2 linked regions of the Canis lupus familiaris genome follow. The protein of the gene in region 2 interacts with the protein of the main gene of each other region in a pairwise test. Links are inferred from orthologs where the notes say so. Each region holds a gene or a part of one and is shown on either strand. Other genes may lie near its edges.

Region 1 (6,173 bases), on a different chromosome or scaffold from region 2:
ATTTAACCCGCCTACTGACAGCCACTTGGGCTGTTTCCAGGGTTGCCCCATAGCAGACAATACTGTAATTTATATCCTCGGATCTCTCTTGCTGGGACTGAGGATCCCTTTTTAACATTAAAACTTTCTGTGACAGCGGTTGAGCCCTGGGAGCCAGGCAAGGGAGAAGCCCTGGCCTGACAGGAAGCTTTCAGACCCTCAGTGTGGCCCTCTGTGCATCTGTCAGGTGCCTTCATCACAGCTTCTGTGCTGCCCTACATCTGAACAGCGAGCTCACGTCTGTGGGGGGTTGGCATTCTTTCAGGCTGCAGACAGTGAGCCTCTGTGGAAGGACTCGAGGGCCCTGCCCAGCATGTGGGAGCGACTTGGGCCTAAGGGGGAGCTGGAGGTGCTGGTTGGGGCCTTCAAGTCTTCGTGAGGTGGCCTGGCTACCTCTTCCTGAAGCGTCTGGAAGGCAATGTGCTGGGTGCCGTGGGTTGCAAAGCAGTCCCTGCTCTTCTAGCTGGGGGGCCAGAGGACAAGTTACAGAACAGCTCTGCTGCAGATTCCTCATCTGTGAAATGGCCCCAGTAGGCCTTGAACTGCCCCCCAACTACCACCACCACAGGGATTCTGGGAAGGTGAAATGCTATGATGTACACAGAGCACTGGGTGGAGTACCCGGCTCAATAAATGCTAACCTCAAATATAATTAGCTAACCACCCACAGCTACCAGACCATTGACCACATCACACCCTTCGTGCCCCCCTCCCAGTCCTGGTACAAGCTGTACACTCTGCGTGGAACGCCATTTCTCACTGTGCCTAAGAAAATTCTAAGTCACTCTTCACTTACTGTCAAGTGTCTGTACCTCAATCTGACTCCTGGACCGGCCTGTGGATTTGCCCTGGGAACGGACCGGCTGGAAACTGTTGACCCTCACAAAGTTTACTCTGCCTTGAGCTACTTTCATAATCACTCTGGAGGGTCATTTCTAGTCACTTGTCTGTGGGATCTGGGCGTTCAAGGACCAACTTGGATGCCTGTCTCTTCCATGCCCAGCATAAATGAGGTTCAGAAAGGTTAAGGGTAGGGAGCAAGGAAAGAGAAAAGTCAGGGAGGACAGGTCTGGAGTTGAGGGTGCACAGCTTTTTCTGCCAGTCCCCGGAATCCACCATTCCCAGGGGGCCGAACCAGGAGTGGGGGCAAGGGGCTGGGGTGATGCCCTGAGGGCCCTGGGGTAACTGTCTCCCCTCTGCCACCTCCACCCCCCCCAGAGTGTGGGGTGTGGGAACACGTCCATTTCTCTCCTTCCCTCCACCCTTCCCCAAATCTCACCTGAGCCTCCTGCACCTTCCCTGCCTGGGTCTCCAGAGGGTCAGAGGCTGGGGGAGGAGGGGGAGCAGACGTGGTTACAGTGCGGGGCACAGTTAAGTGGGGATGAAGGGCTTCAAAGCAGAGGGGCAAGGGGCAAGAAGACCCACCAACCTAATTATACTGGGGTGGGAGGTGGTGGTAAAAGCTGAGCAGAGGGAGGGAGGGGATGGGGAAAAGCAGATCTTATTAGGATAGACAGTGCTGTCTGGAGAAGTGGTTAGTGACAGACAGAGGCTGGGGCAGGAAGGTTTGGGAGAGGGAGGAGAAAGTAAAGCATACAGGCATGGAGGAAGACTTAGAAGTGAGGAAGCAAACAGTAGTGAGTGTGTGTGTGAGCACGTGTGTGTGCAGGGAGGGTTAGGGTTTACAAACAGAGGGAAGTTTAAAAAAGGAAGAGAGAAAACAAAATACGCTTAGCAGAGACAGGTTTAGGAAAGGAGGTGCAGTGGAGACAGCACGTTTAGGAGGGGCACAGGAACTAGAGGGACGAGACAGGAGGGGGCGCCAGGGGTCCCCGAGCATCCTACAGTTCCCCCTAACAACCAGGTACCCTTAGCAACCGGGGCCGCGGCAATCTAAGTCCTTAGCAACGAGGGTCCTCAGCAACCGAGGTGCGAGAAACACGCGGTCATTAGTAACTTAGGGGACGTAGCAAAGGACCCTTACAATCTCGCGACCCAGAAACCCACCAGCCTGGCAAGATGGATCACTTAGCAACGACCCCCCACCCCCGCCCCGATTCCCACTGGCCGCCATGCAGCCCCCGTCTCCAGCCCCACCACGCCGGTCCTCGGGCCCCGGGGCCTGCAGCCCTCAGCCAGGCCCCGGTGCGACCCGACCCTCCCACCGGGGCCCCCGACTCACGGTCCGGCTCGGCCATGGGCGCGGGGCGGGGGCCCTCGGGGCTGTCACCGACTGCTCTGTCCCGTGACGGCACCGGAAACAGGAGGGGCAGAGACAGGGCAGAGAACTACGACTCCCAGCAGTCATCGAGGATGCATACAGGCTTTTCGTCCAGCGGCGCCTGCCGCTCTCGGGCTAGGAAGACACGGACGGCGAGACTACGAGTCCCAGAGGGCTCCGCGCAGGCAGCCATGTTGGTAAAGGGCGGCCGGAAACTGTGGGAATGGGTAGAGAGCCGCAGTCCGTCTGAATACTCTGAATGGTCACTGTGTGGTAAGGGGGCGGGGCGTGTGCTCTTTAGGTCATTCTGATTGGGTGAGCCAAGGGGGAGTGTTGGGGAATTCCCCGCAGGGCGGAAGCGCCGGGGCTTCAGGCAAAGCCAGCTACAGGCGGGCGGCCGCTGGGGCCCCTGAGGCTTCGGGGGCCATGGCCGGGGTCGCGTGCTTGGGGAAAGCTGCGGAGGCCGACGAATGGTGCGACAGCGGCCTGGGCTCTCTGGGTCCCGACGCAGCAGCCCCCGGAGGACCGGGGCTGGGCGCCGAGCTGGGCCCGGGGTTGTCGTGGGCGCCCCTCGTCTTTGGCTACGTCACTGAGGATGGGGACACGTGAGTGAACCTTAGGCTGCCTAACGGGGCCCTAGGATCCCACCTCTGATTCCCTATTAGTCTCCTATCCCGGCTCCCTAACCTTTCACTCTTAAATCTAACTTCTGATGCTCGACTTTCTGATTTGTAACTCCTAACCTTTAGTAAAACCAATTTCCTAGCCAACTTTGACCCTAACTCCTTAATTTCTCCGACTTTCCTTTCTTGAGCTCTGCTTCATATTGCTCCACATCCCTATCCATTGATCCCCAAACTGGTTTTGATCTTCCCGACCCAAGTCCGGAGACCTTTGTTAGAGTTGTGGTCCAGACAGGCTCCTCCTCACCTCCTACCTCCAAATAGGATCCTTGATCCTTAGCCTCCTGATGGATGCGCCTTGAACTTAGATTTCCAAAATTAATACATGACCTTGATTCTTAACATTCTACCTTCTGAGCACCGATCTTCAGATCTTACATCCAAAGGGAAAACGTAAGCTCCATGATAGCAGGGATTGATGCCTGTTAAGTATTTGCTGAACACCACCACGTTCCAGGCACTGGTTTAGGTGCTGCGATAAAGCAGTGAGGAAAACAGACAAAAATTTCCGCTCTTGTGGAGTTTACATTCTAAGGTGCGTATGTAGACAGACAAAAGGACAGACAGGCTGACAGAAAGACAGGAAGGAAGGGAGGGAGGGAAAGAGGAGAGAGAAGGAACAAAAGAAACTAAGACACAGACGCAAAGTGAGAAAGAAGAGAAAGGAAAAGAAGAAACAAAGAAAAACGAAAAACAGTATAAAGGAAAGGCAGAAAAATAGTGTATCTGAAGGTAATAAGTTCTTTGGGGGAAAAATAAAGCAGGAAAACGAGATCCGTAGAGTATCTGGGGGAGAACTCTCCAGGCAGAAGGAACCAGAATTGTAAAGGGCGGTGAGGGATTGTCCTGGGGTTTTTTTGTGTATTTGTGTCTACTCATCCAGTCATGGTGACTAAACAGGGCTTGACCCATAAGAGGCGTGCAGGAAATATTGTTCTTTCCAAAGACCCCTGCTGAGGTTTCATTAGTTTTCTTTATTGGTTTTTTGCTTTCTATTTCATTGATCTCTGTTTTGATTTTCATTATTGCCCTCTTCGGCTTACTTTGGGTCTAATTTTTTTTTTTCTTTCTTTCTCTCTTTTTTTAAAGTTTCTTAAGGTGGCAGCTGAGATCATTCATTTGAGACCTTTCTTCTCTAACATTGGTGTTTCATGGTATAAATTTCCAGCAGCAGTACTTTAGCAGTCTCTCACAAATTCTGATATGTTGTGTTTTCATGTTCATTTAATTCAAGATACTTTGTAATTTCTCTTTTGATTTCTTCTTTGGCCAGTGGATTATTTAAAAATATGTTATTTAGGGCGCCTGGGTGGCTCAGTTGGTTGAGCTCAGGTTGTGATCTCAGGGTCCTGGGATGAGCCTCCCATTGGGCTCTGTGCTCAAGTGTGGCATCTGCTTGGAATTCTCTCTCTTTCTCCCTCTGCCCTTCCTGCTTATGCTCTCTCTAAAATAAATAAATAAATAAATCTTTTAAAAAGGGGTAGGGGGCAGAGGGAGAGGGAGAGAGAAACCCAAGCAGGCTCTGTTGGGAGCAGGGCGTGATCCCATGACCCTGAGATCAGGGCCTGAGCTGAAGCCAAGAGTTGGTCATCCAACCCACTGTGCCACCCTGATGCCCCTAAATAAATCTTTTTAAAAAAATAAATATGTTATTTAGTTTCCAGATATTTGGAAAGTTTTCCAAATGTCTCTCTTTTATTGATTTTTAATTTAATTCCCTTGTAGACTGAGAACATACTTTGTATGACTTGGATCCTCGTAAATTTATTGAGAATTGTTTTATGGTGCCACACATTATGCGTGCACTTGAAAAGAGTGAATATTCTGCTGTTGTTGGGTGTAGGGTTCTCTAAAAGTCAATTAGTGGTCCTATTGGTTTATCATTTTATATATCCTTACTAATGGTTTCTGTCTCCTTGTTCTATCAATTATTGAGGAGGGGGCATTGAAATCTCCAGCAGTCATTATGGATTTGTCTCTTGTTCTGTCAGGTTTTGCTTTGTGTAATTTGATGCTCTGTTATTAGGGCATGGATATGTAGAATTATTATGTTCTTTTGCTTAGTTGACCTCTTAATCATTACAAAATAACCTTCTCGATACTTGGTAATATTTCTTGCTCTAAAGTCTAGTATGATATTAAAATATTCACTCCTGGGCAGCCCCGGTGGCCCAGCAGTTTAGTGCCGCCTTCAGCCAGGGCATGATCCTGGAGATCCGGGATCGAGTCCCACATCAGGCTCCCTGCATGGAGCCTGCGTCTCCCTCTGCCTGTGTCTCTGCCTCTCTCTCTCTCTCTCTCTCTCTCTCTCTCTGTGAGTCTGTCATGAATAAATAAAATCTTAAAAAAACACAACTCACTCCTGCTTTCTTTTGACTGACTGGTGTTAGCACAGTATATCTTTTTCCACCCTTTTATTTTAACCTATCTTTTAATACCTATATTTAAAGGGTATTACTTGTAGGAAGCATATATAGTTGGGTTTTGCTTTTTTGTTCAGTCTGACAATTTCTGCCTTTTAATTGGAATGTTTAGACCATTTACATTTAGTTATTGATACAGTTATGTTTATCATCCTTTTGCTAATTTTCTACTTAATACATCTCCTTTGTTTACCTTTTCTTCTTTTTCTGCCTTCTTTTGGAACCTGTAAACCTTGTCCCGTTGTATTCTTTTTTTTTTTTTTTTTTAAAGATTTTTATTTATTTATTCATGATAGTCACAGAGAGAGAGAGAGAGAGGCTCAGAGACACAGGCAGAGGGAGAAGCAGGCTCCGTGCACCGGGAGCCCGACGTGGGATCCGATCCCGGGTCTCCAGGATCGCGCCCTGGGCCAAAGGCAGGCGCCAAACCGCTGCGCCACCCAGGGATCCCTATTCTTTTTTTTTTTTTAAAGATTTTATTTATTTATTCATGAGAGACACGGAGAGAGAGAGAGAGAGAGAGAGAGAGAGAGAGAGAGAGAGAGAGAGGCAGAGACACAGGCAGAGGGAGAAGCAGGCTCCATGCAGGGAGCCCGATGTGGGACTCGATCCGGGGACTCCAGGATCACGCCCTGGGCTGAAGGCAGGCGCTAAACCACTGAACCACCCAGGGATCCCCCATTGTATTCTTTTGTTGGTTCATTAGCTTTATGTATTTATTTAAAGATTTTATTTTTAAATTTTATTTATTTTGTGGGGGAGGGTCAGTGGGAAAGGGAGAGAGAATCTCAAGCCGACTCCCAGTAT
Region 2 (6,092 bases):
AAACCTTTTAATTATTTTATGTTATAGTGACTTGTGATCATGGCTCCTCGAAAGCTCACAATGATATGCATTTTTTAGCAATAAAGTATTTTTAAATTAAAGCATGTGCTTTTAAAAGACATAATGCATTACTACACATTCAATACTGAAATACTGATTAGAGTAAATATAACTTGCATATGCACTGGGAAACCAAAATATTTGACCCACTTTATTGCCTAGAACTGAACCTACAATATAGACCTGTGATATGCAGGTCTATTCACTATCCCATTTAAGCCTCATAGCAATCTTTAAAAGTACTAGTATATTTTATATTGCCTTACTAGTTTCAAAAAAACAGAAAAAAGCAATCTTCTTATTTACCATTTAAGAACAAGTGAAAATTGTACATCCTGCAATAAAACAAAAGAACCAAAGAAATCTAATCAATCTTATGAACCAAAGCTAGAACATATAGCTTTGATTGGTCAAGTTACCTAATACTTATGTTTCCTTTAAATTCTTTGAAACCAGGCTACAGCATCCCTGGATCCATTTCTAACATTTCATGAGCACCTATTATGCACCAGGAGCTGGGAACTGTGAACAAAATAGGACTACCCCGTTTTGTTCAGTTCTATCCCTGTCTATCCCTGCTCCCACGGTGTCCACACACTGGCAAAACCACATTCAACCATATCCACAATTACATATACTAACAAAAACAAAACAAAATGATGGAATGACCCCAACTGGAAGGCCAGTTCATTAGGTCAGTGAAAGAAAACACCCAAACTTATGCTCACCGACCTAAGGCATAATATGAGCCAAATACCGATGGTTCCTATGAGGTAGAAAGGGGAAATGCATTGTATTCACCTCTGACATTGGAATAAATACTGTTCACGATGTAATGATACTCCTCCCACTTCCTAACTATAGGTTTCTTCACACTTGGCAGTCTGTTGGCATTTCGACTACCCACCATGTATGATTACAAAATTTCTAGGGCATGTAGATCACAGGAAGGGTAGCTGTCACGATGCTCTGCAGTGGGGAGCAGAAGCAGAAACCAAACCTAGAACGAACTTCACAGGATGACAACAGGTGACGGTCCAACAAACTTTTAGTGAATTCTAGAAGCCGAGGGAACCCACTCCCCATCTAGAGTATCTTGGCTTGATGTGCGACTCTTCTCTGGCTTTCATTACTTACCTTTTGGTGGAAATGATGTAAGAGACCAGAGGACTAGTCACTCTTTTAACCGTTCTTTAGTTTACCCAGCAGCTAAGGTGATCTGGTTGGGACATGTCTCCTGGACCCTTCCTCACTTACAGCTATCCTGTCTCATTTACAGGCTCCGTTCCTTACCCTACCTTACCTTAATTGCTGTGATGGCAAAGGCTATTTTCCGCCGCCCATCGATATTGGTGTTAAGTACTCGCAAAATGTGCTGGAACTTCTCAGGGATCACTAGAGACTGGCAGAGACAGGGGGAGAAACAGGACACCGTCAACCACCATCAAACAGTAACGTCAAGAGGAACGTCCGGGTTGTCACACCGGGAGCAACAACCCTCCCCCCTTCAGTCCCGCTCGCAAAACCTTAAGTGTTCAAGCTCGGGAAAACGCAACCTCTGGGAGGGGGCAAGTCTTCTGCCCGTTCCCAAAAGTACACTGAGAGGCGGAGACCTCAGGTCCCCATTCACGCCCAAGCCTTTTCGCCGGTTTCGAGTGACTCTTCCTCTGGCCTACTCCACAGAACTGGAAGTCCTCAGTCATTCCTTCCCAGGGGTGCGCTCCAAAGATTCACACAGAAAGTTGCTAACCCCTAAAACAGGGCGTTTTCTGATCCCTAACAGCAGACTTTCCGTGTCCCGGTTCCGATGTCGCCGGATCCCCGCACGAAATCCACTCTTACCATGGCAGCAGCCTCTGCAGCGGCGTGCGGGCCTCCCGTGGAAGAGAGAACGGAAGTGACATACTAGGCTTATATAGCTATCAGCGGAAGAGGCGGAGCGATCACGCAGGAGCGCTTCCGGAAGCCGCTGGTGCCAGAACTAATTCAACTATGAGAATCTCTCTTCTTTACCAGAACTTCCGGTGCGGCCTCTCTTTACATGTTCGTAAAGTCCTTAAGAGGGAGAGCAGCAAAGGTTCCGGGGTGCGATTGTGCTTCAGATATCCAGTTCCCATTTGCAGTTGGGTCAAGTGGTTAGGGCTGAAAGGGGAAGGCTGGAGTCCAACAACTTAATTCAAATATCTGGGAACGATTTCGCTCTCTGCAAGACCCTCTAGGATTTGTAGGTCCACCCCAGGGACGGACCTACGGCGACTGGACAGCTGCCGGAAGTGAGGCTACGCAGAATGGCAGCTGCTGCGACCATGGCGGCGGCTGCGCGAGAGCTGCTGCTGAGAGCCGGGACCTCGGATATGGAGGAGGAGGAGGGCCCGCTGGTGCGGACGTGGGGCTCTTTCTCTCCGGAGTCTTGTCCGGGGGTCCTCGCGTCAGAAGGGCCTGGGCTGGGTTTAGGCAGAAGAGTGGGCGAGCGGCTGTTAACGGTGATGCTCCCTGTGTGTTTTTCCGTATCCGTCCTTGGAGTCGGGTCTGAGTCTGCCCTGGAGTCAGAATGGCCGACTCAGGTGCCAGTGGCAGAATTTCAGTTAACTTCCAGATCTGAGGGCAGAATACAGCGGCAGTATAGTGTAAAGGTTAAGAACGTGACTATGGTCAGATCGCCTGGGTTCTAATTCCAGCTTTGCCTCTTGCACGCTGTGTGTCGTTGGGCGGGTTAATCAGTTTCTCTGTGTTATACTTTCCCCACGTATAAGGTGAAGGAAATGATAAGACTTCACCGTAGAAATTGTTGGTTATGATTAGATGAATGAATGTATGAAAAATGGCACCTGGCCCGCAGGTAAACACTGTTAGCTGACATTTCTAGAAGGGCAGGTGATCCCCACAGGGATTGTGATAGAACACCTAAGATAGCAGGAGTCTGGGGATCCTACACTCAGCTGTAAGTTTAGCCCTGTCCTCTGCAACTCCTCCTTTACTCTTGTGGTGACTTTTGAGTCTTTTTGTTATATTCCCTACCTAGGAGCCCCAAATAGCAGATTGGGGACAGTGTGAGACTTTTGGAATTTTTTGACCCAGTGCCCATGGCTTCCCAATAAAAACCCAGCCCAGCCCCACCTTCCCCAAACCTTGAAGGTCTGTGGATTATCCCGTTATATTTGTTCTCTCTCTCTCTCTTACTGTGCCCTTTCCTGTTGACTTGTCCCTCTCCAGGGGGGTGGCCCTGGTCTTCAGGAGCCATTGCCACTTGGAGAATTGGACATCTCCTCTGATGAATTTATTCTGGATGAAGTGGATGGTAAGTGATGGCATGAGGTGGATGCAAACTGCTTGTGATCCAAGAGGTATGGTGCTGGAAGTAATAAGGTGGGGAATGGTGTACAGATGTTCGTTTGCGGGAGCTGGACCCTTATGATAAATTTCTATTTCCAGTTCACATTCAGGCAAATCTGGAGGATGAGTTAGTAAAGGAAGCTCTTAAAACGGTGAGGCTTTCTGCTGTACTGATTTATCCCTCCTCTTACCCTCCCCTCAAAGAGGAAAAAAAAGGACAGTCTCTCACTCTTACAACATCACCCTGGTGTCTCACCTTCTAGTCCTTTATTGATTCTTTCTAGGGTCTCTTCACTGCCACTTCCTCTTAACCTGTTGTGTTAATGTTCCCCTAGGGTGTGGATCTCCGTCACTATTCAAAGCAGGTTGAGCTGGAACTACAGCAGATTGAGCAGAAATCCATTCGAGATTGTATCCTCCAGTAGAGAAAAAGGGTGATGTTATTAAAATAGAGATTTTGCGGAGCATGGTGCATGCAGCCCAGCAGGGGCTGACATCTTCTCATGGCAGTTTCTGTCATCTCTGGGAAAAATGGGAATAGTCCCACAGGTCTGAGAATCTCCAGCTTTATGGTGAGGCCCCTTGACTTTTTGTGGATTAGATATCCAGGAGAGTGAGAACATAGCGTCTCTCCACAACCAGATCACAGCCTGCGATGCTGTTCTTGAGGTTAGTAACCATGACCTGTGATCCCTCTTAACCCTGAACCAGATCATGGTCTGGTGTTGTTCTTTAAGTCATCATCCTCAGGTGGGGATAGTTAGATTCACGTTCAGGATGACCTTAGCAGACCTTTTTGTTGCTACTGCCATAACTAATGTTATTTGCCAGTGACCTTTTGGGTACTTCTTACCTCATCACCTACCTTCGAGGACTGATACTGAAGACTTTACCAATAAACTTAGGTGGCCCATTTGTCCCTTGCCAACCCTTTGGTGCTCCAACAACATCTTCTGTCCTCCCCCCAGCGCATGGAGCAGATGTTGGGAGCTTTTCAGAGTGACCTCAGCTCTATTAGCTCTGAGATCCGGACACTGCAGGAACAGTCAGGAGCCATGAATATTCGGCTTCGAAACCGCCAGGCAGTTCGGGGAAAACTTGGGGAACTTGTCGATGGTCTGATAGTGCCCTCTGCTCTGATCATGTAAGTTGCCATTTTGAAGAGTTACAATGTCTATAGCAGGTAGATGGTCTAGGATGACCTACCACATGGGTCTCCTGGCCTCAGCTCTTCAAGCACCTTCCAGAAACTGATGGGTGGTTGACAACTCAACCTTGATGCATGCTTTAGGCATCAAAGATTAGGAATATCCAGAGTCAGGCATTTAGTTGGGAGGTTTAGTTGGGAGGTTTAAGGCTTTATGGACGTGGGATTGGGGGAGGTTCCAGGAACAGGAGACTTTGTACACGTATCCTGACTATGTGACTTAGCGTGTGAAGGGAGAGGTGACAGGCTGGATGTAAGGAATATAGTTTGGGACCTACTGATGTCTGGGTCTCCCTCCTATAACCCCTTCCACCTGTCCCTGCTACCCAGGGCAATTCTGGAGGCACCAGTGACAGAGCCTAGGTTCCTGGAGCAGCTGCAGGAACTGGATGCCAAGGCGGCTGCAGTCCGAGAGCAGGAGGCTAGAGGCACAGCGGCTTGTGCTGATGTCAGAGGCATACTTGACCGGCTACGGGTGAAGGTGAGGGGTGGGGATGATACCCCCAAGATTACTAGAACCAGCCTCCCTGACACCTTCAACCTGGGTTTCCCCAGCAGCGCTCACTGTAGCCCATCCCCAAGAATTTCACCCTGCCTTTACTGGCAGAGCTCATCTTCACATCTCTAGGTTCCCCTGAACACTTTCAGAAATACTGATGAGGTCTTCTCCAACCTCCATCCTCCTGTATTTGAAATGTGACCCTCCCCCCACCATTTCCATAACAGTCATAAGGTTGCAGCTTCATGCCCTGTGTTTGTTTCCTCCCCCCATGTCCAGGCGGTGACGAAGATCCGAGAGTTCATCCTTCAGAAGATTTATTCCTTCAGAAAACCAATGACCAACTATCAGATCCCCCAGACGGCCCTGCTCAAGTACAGGTCAGTGCCCAAAGGAAAGGCTCAGCATGGCCTCTGGGCCATCAGTCAGCCTGGTGAGGGGTCTGCTTTCTTGGGGAAGGTGGGGAGACTGACTTGTCCCTGGCCTCTCCAGGTTCTTCTACCAGTTTCTGCTGGGCAATGAACGGGCAACGGCAAAGGAAATCAGGGATGAGTATGTGGAAACGCTGAGCAAGATCTACCTGTCTTACTATCGCTCTTACCTAGGGCGGCTCATGAAAGTGCAGGTGAGGCCAAGGAGGGAGGCATGGCTAGGATTGGGGAAGAGGGGCCACCCCCAGGCAGGGCTGGACAGTGGGGAAAAATTGTTTTATCACAACAGGGGAGGAGATGCTTACTGGTTCCCTTTTCTCTTTTTTTCTTAGTATGAGGAAGTTGCCGAGAAGGATGATCTAATGGGTGTGGAAGACACAGCAAAGAAAGATATCCTAGAACTGAGGAACCCACGTAGTAGGCCTTGATAGTGACAGTGCCTCAAAGGCACTGCTTCTTGTCTTTTTCTCTGGGACCAAAACCTTTGAGAATGTGATAATGGCTATCCCCCTCCCCCCCTGCCGCCCGAAAAAGGCATGCATCCTTTTGACACATAGTTCTA

The links.
Region 1: the proteins of VPS52 (region 2) and NFKBIB interact in binary tests that used the Homo sapiens proteins (3 or more experiments, as listed by UniProt). The two-hybrid records come from large-scale screens. The link is inferred for Canis lupus familiaris from reciprocal best matches to the Homo sapiens genes VPS52 and NFKBIB.

Annotation. Positions count from the first base shown.
Region 1 is NC_049222.1:115,000,316-115,006,488, reverse strand, and holds the start of NFKBIB (NF-kappa-B inhibitor beta), read left to right. Parts: upstream 1-2,601; 5' UTR 2,602-2,686; coding exon 2,687-2,865; intron 2,866-6,173. Other genes in the region: SIRT2 (NAD-dependent protein deacetylase sirtuin-2), read right to left, coding at 2,222-2,347. UniProt on the Homo sapiens protein: Inhibits NF-kappa-B by complexing with and trapping it in the cytoplasm.
Region 2 is NC_049233.1:2,863,884-2,869,975, reverse strand, and holds the start of VPS52 (vacuolar protein sorting-associated protein 52 homolog), read left to right. Parts: upstream 1-2,076; 5' UTR 2,077-2,348; coding exon 2,349-2,438; intron 2,439-3,273; coding exon 3,274-3,358; intron 3,359-3,492; coding exon 3,493-3,545; intron 3,546-3,728; coding exon 3,729-3,804; intron 3,805-3,994; coding exon 3,995-4,062; intron 4,063-4,361; coding exon 4,362-4,537; intron 4,538-4,930; coding exon 4,931-5,081; intron 5,082-5,378; coding exon 5,379-5,479; intron 5,480-5,591; coding exon 5,592-5,724; intron 5,725-5,862; coding exon 5,863-5,920; intron 5,921-6,092. Other genes in the region: RPS18 (40S ribosomal protein S18), read right to left, coding at 1,364-1,462, 1,903-1,905. UniProt on the Homo sapiens protein: Acts as a component of the GARP complex that is involved in retrograde transport from early and late endosomes to the trans-Golgi network (TGN).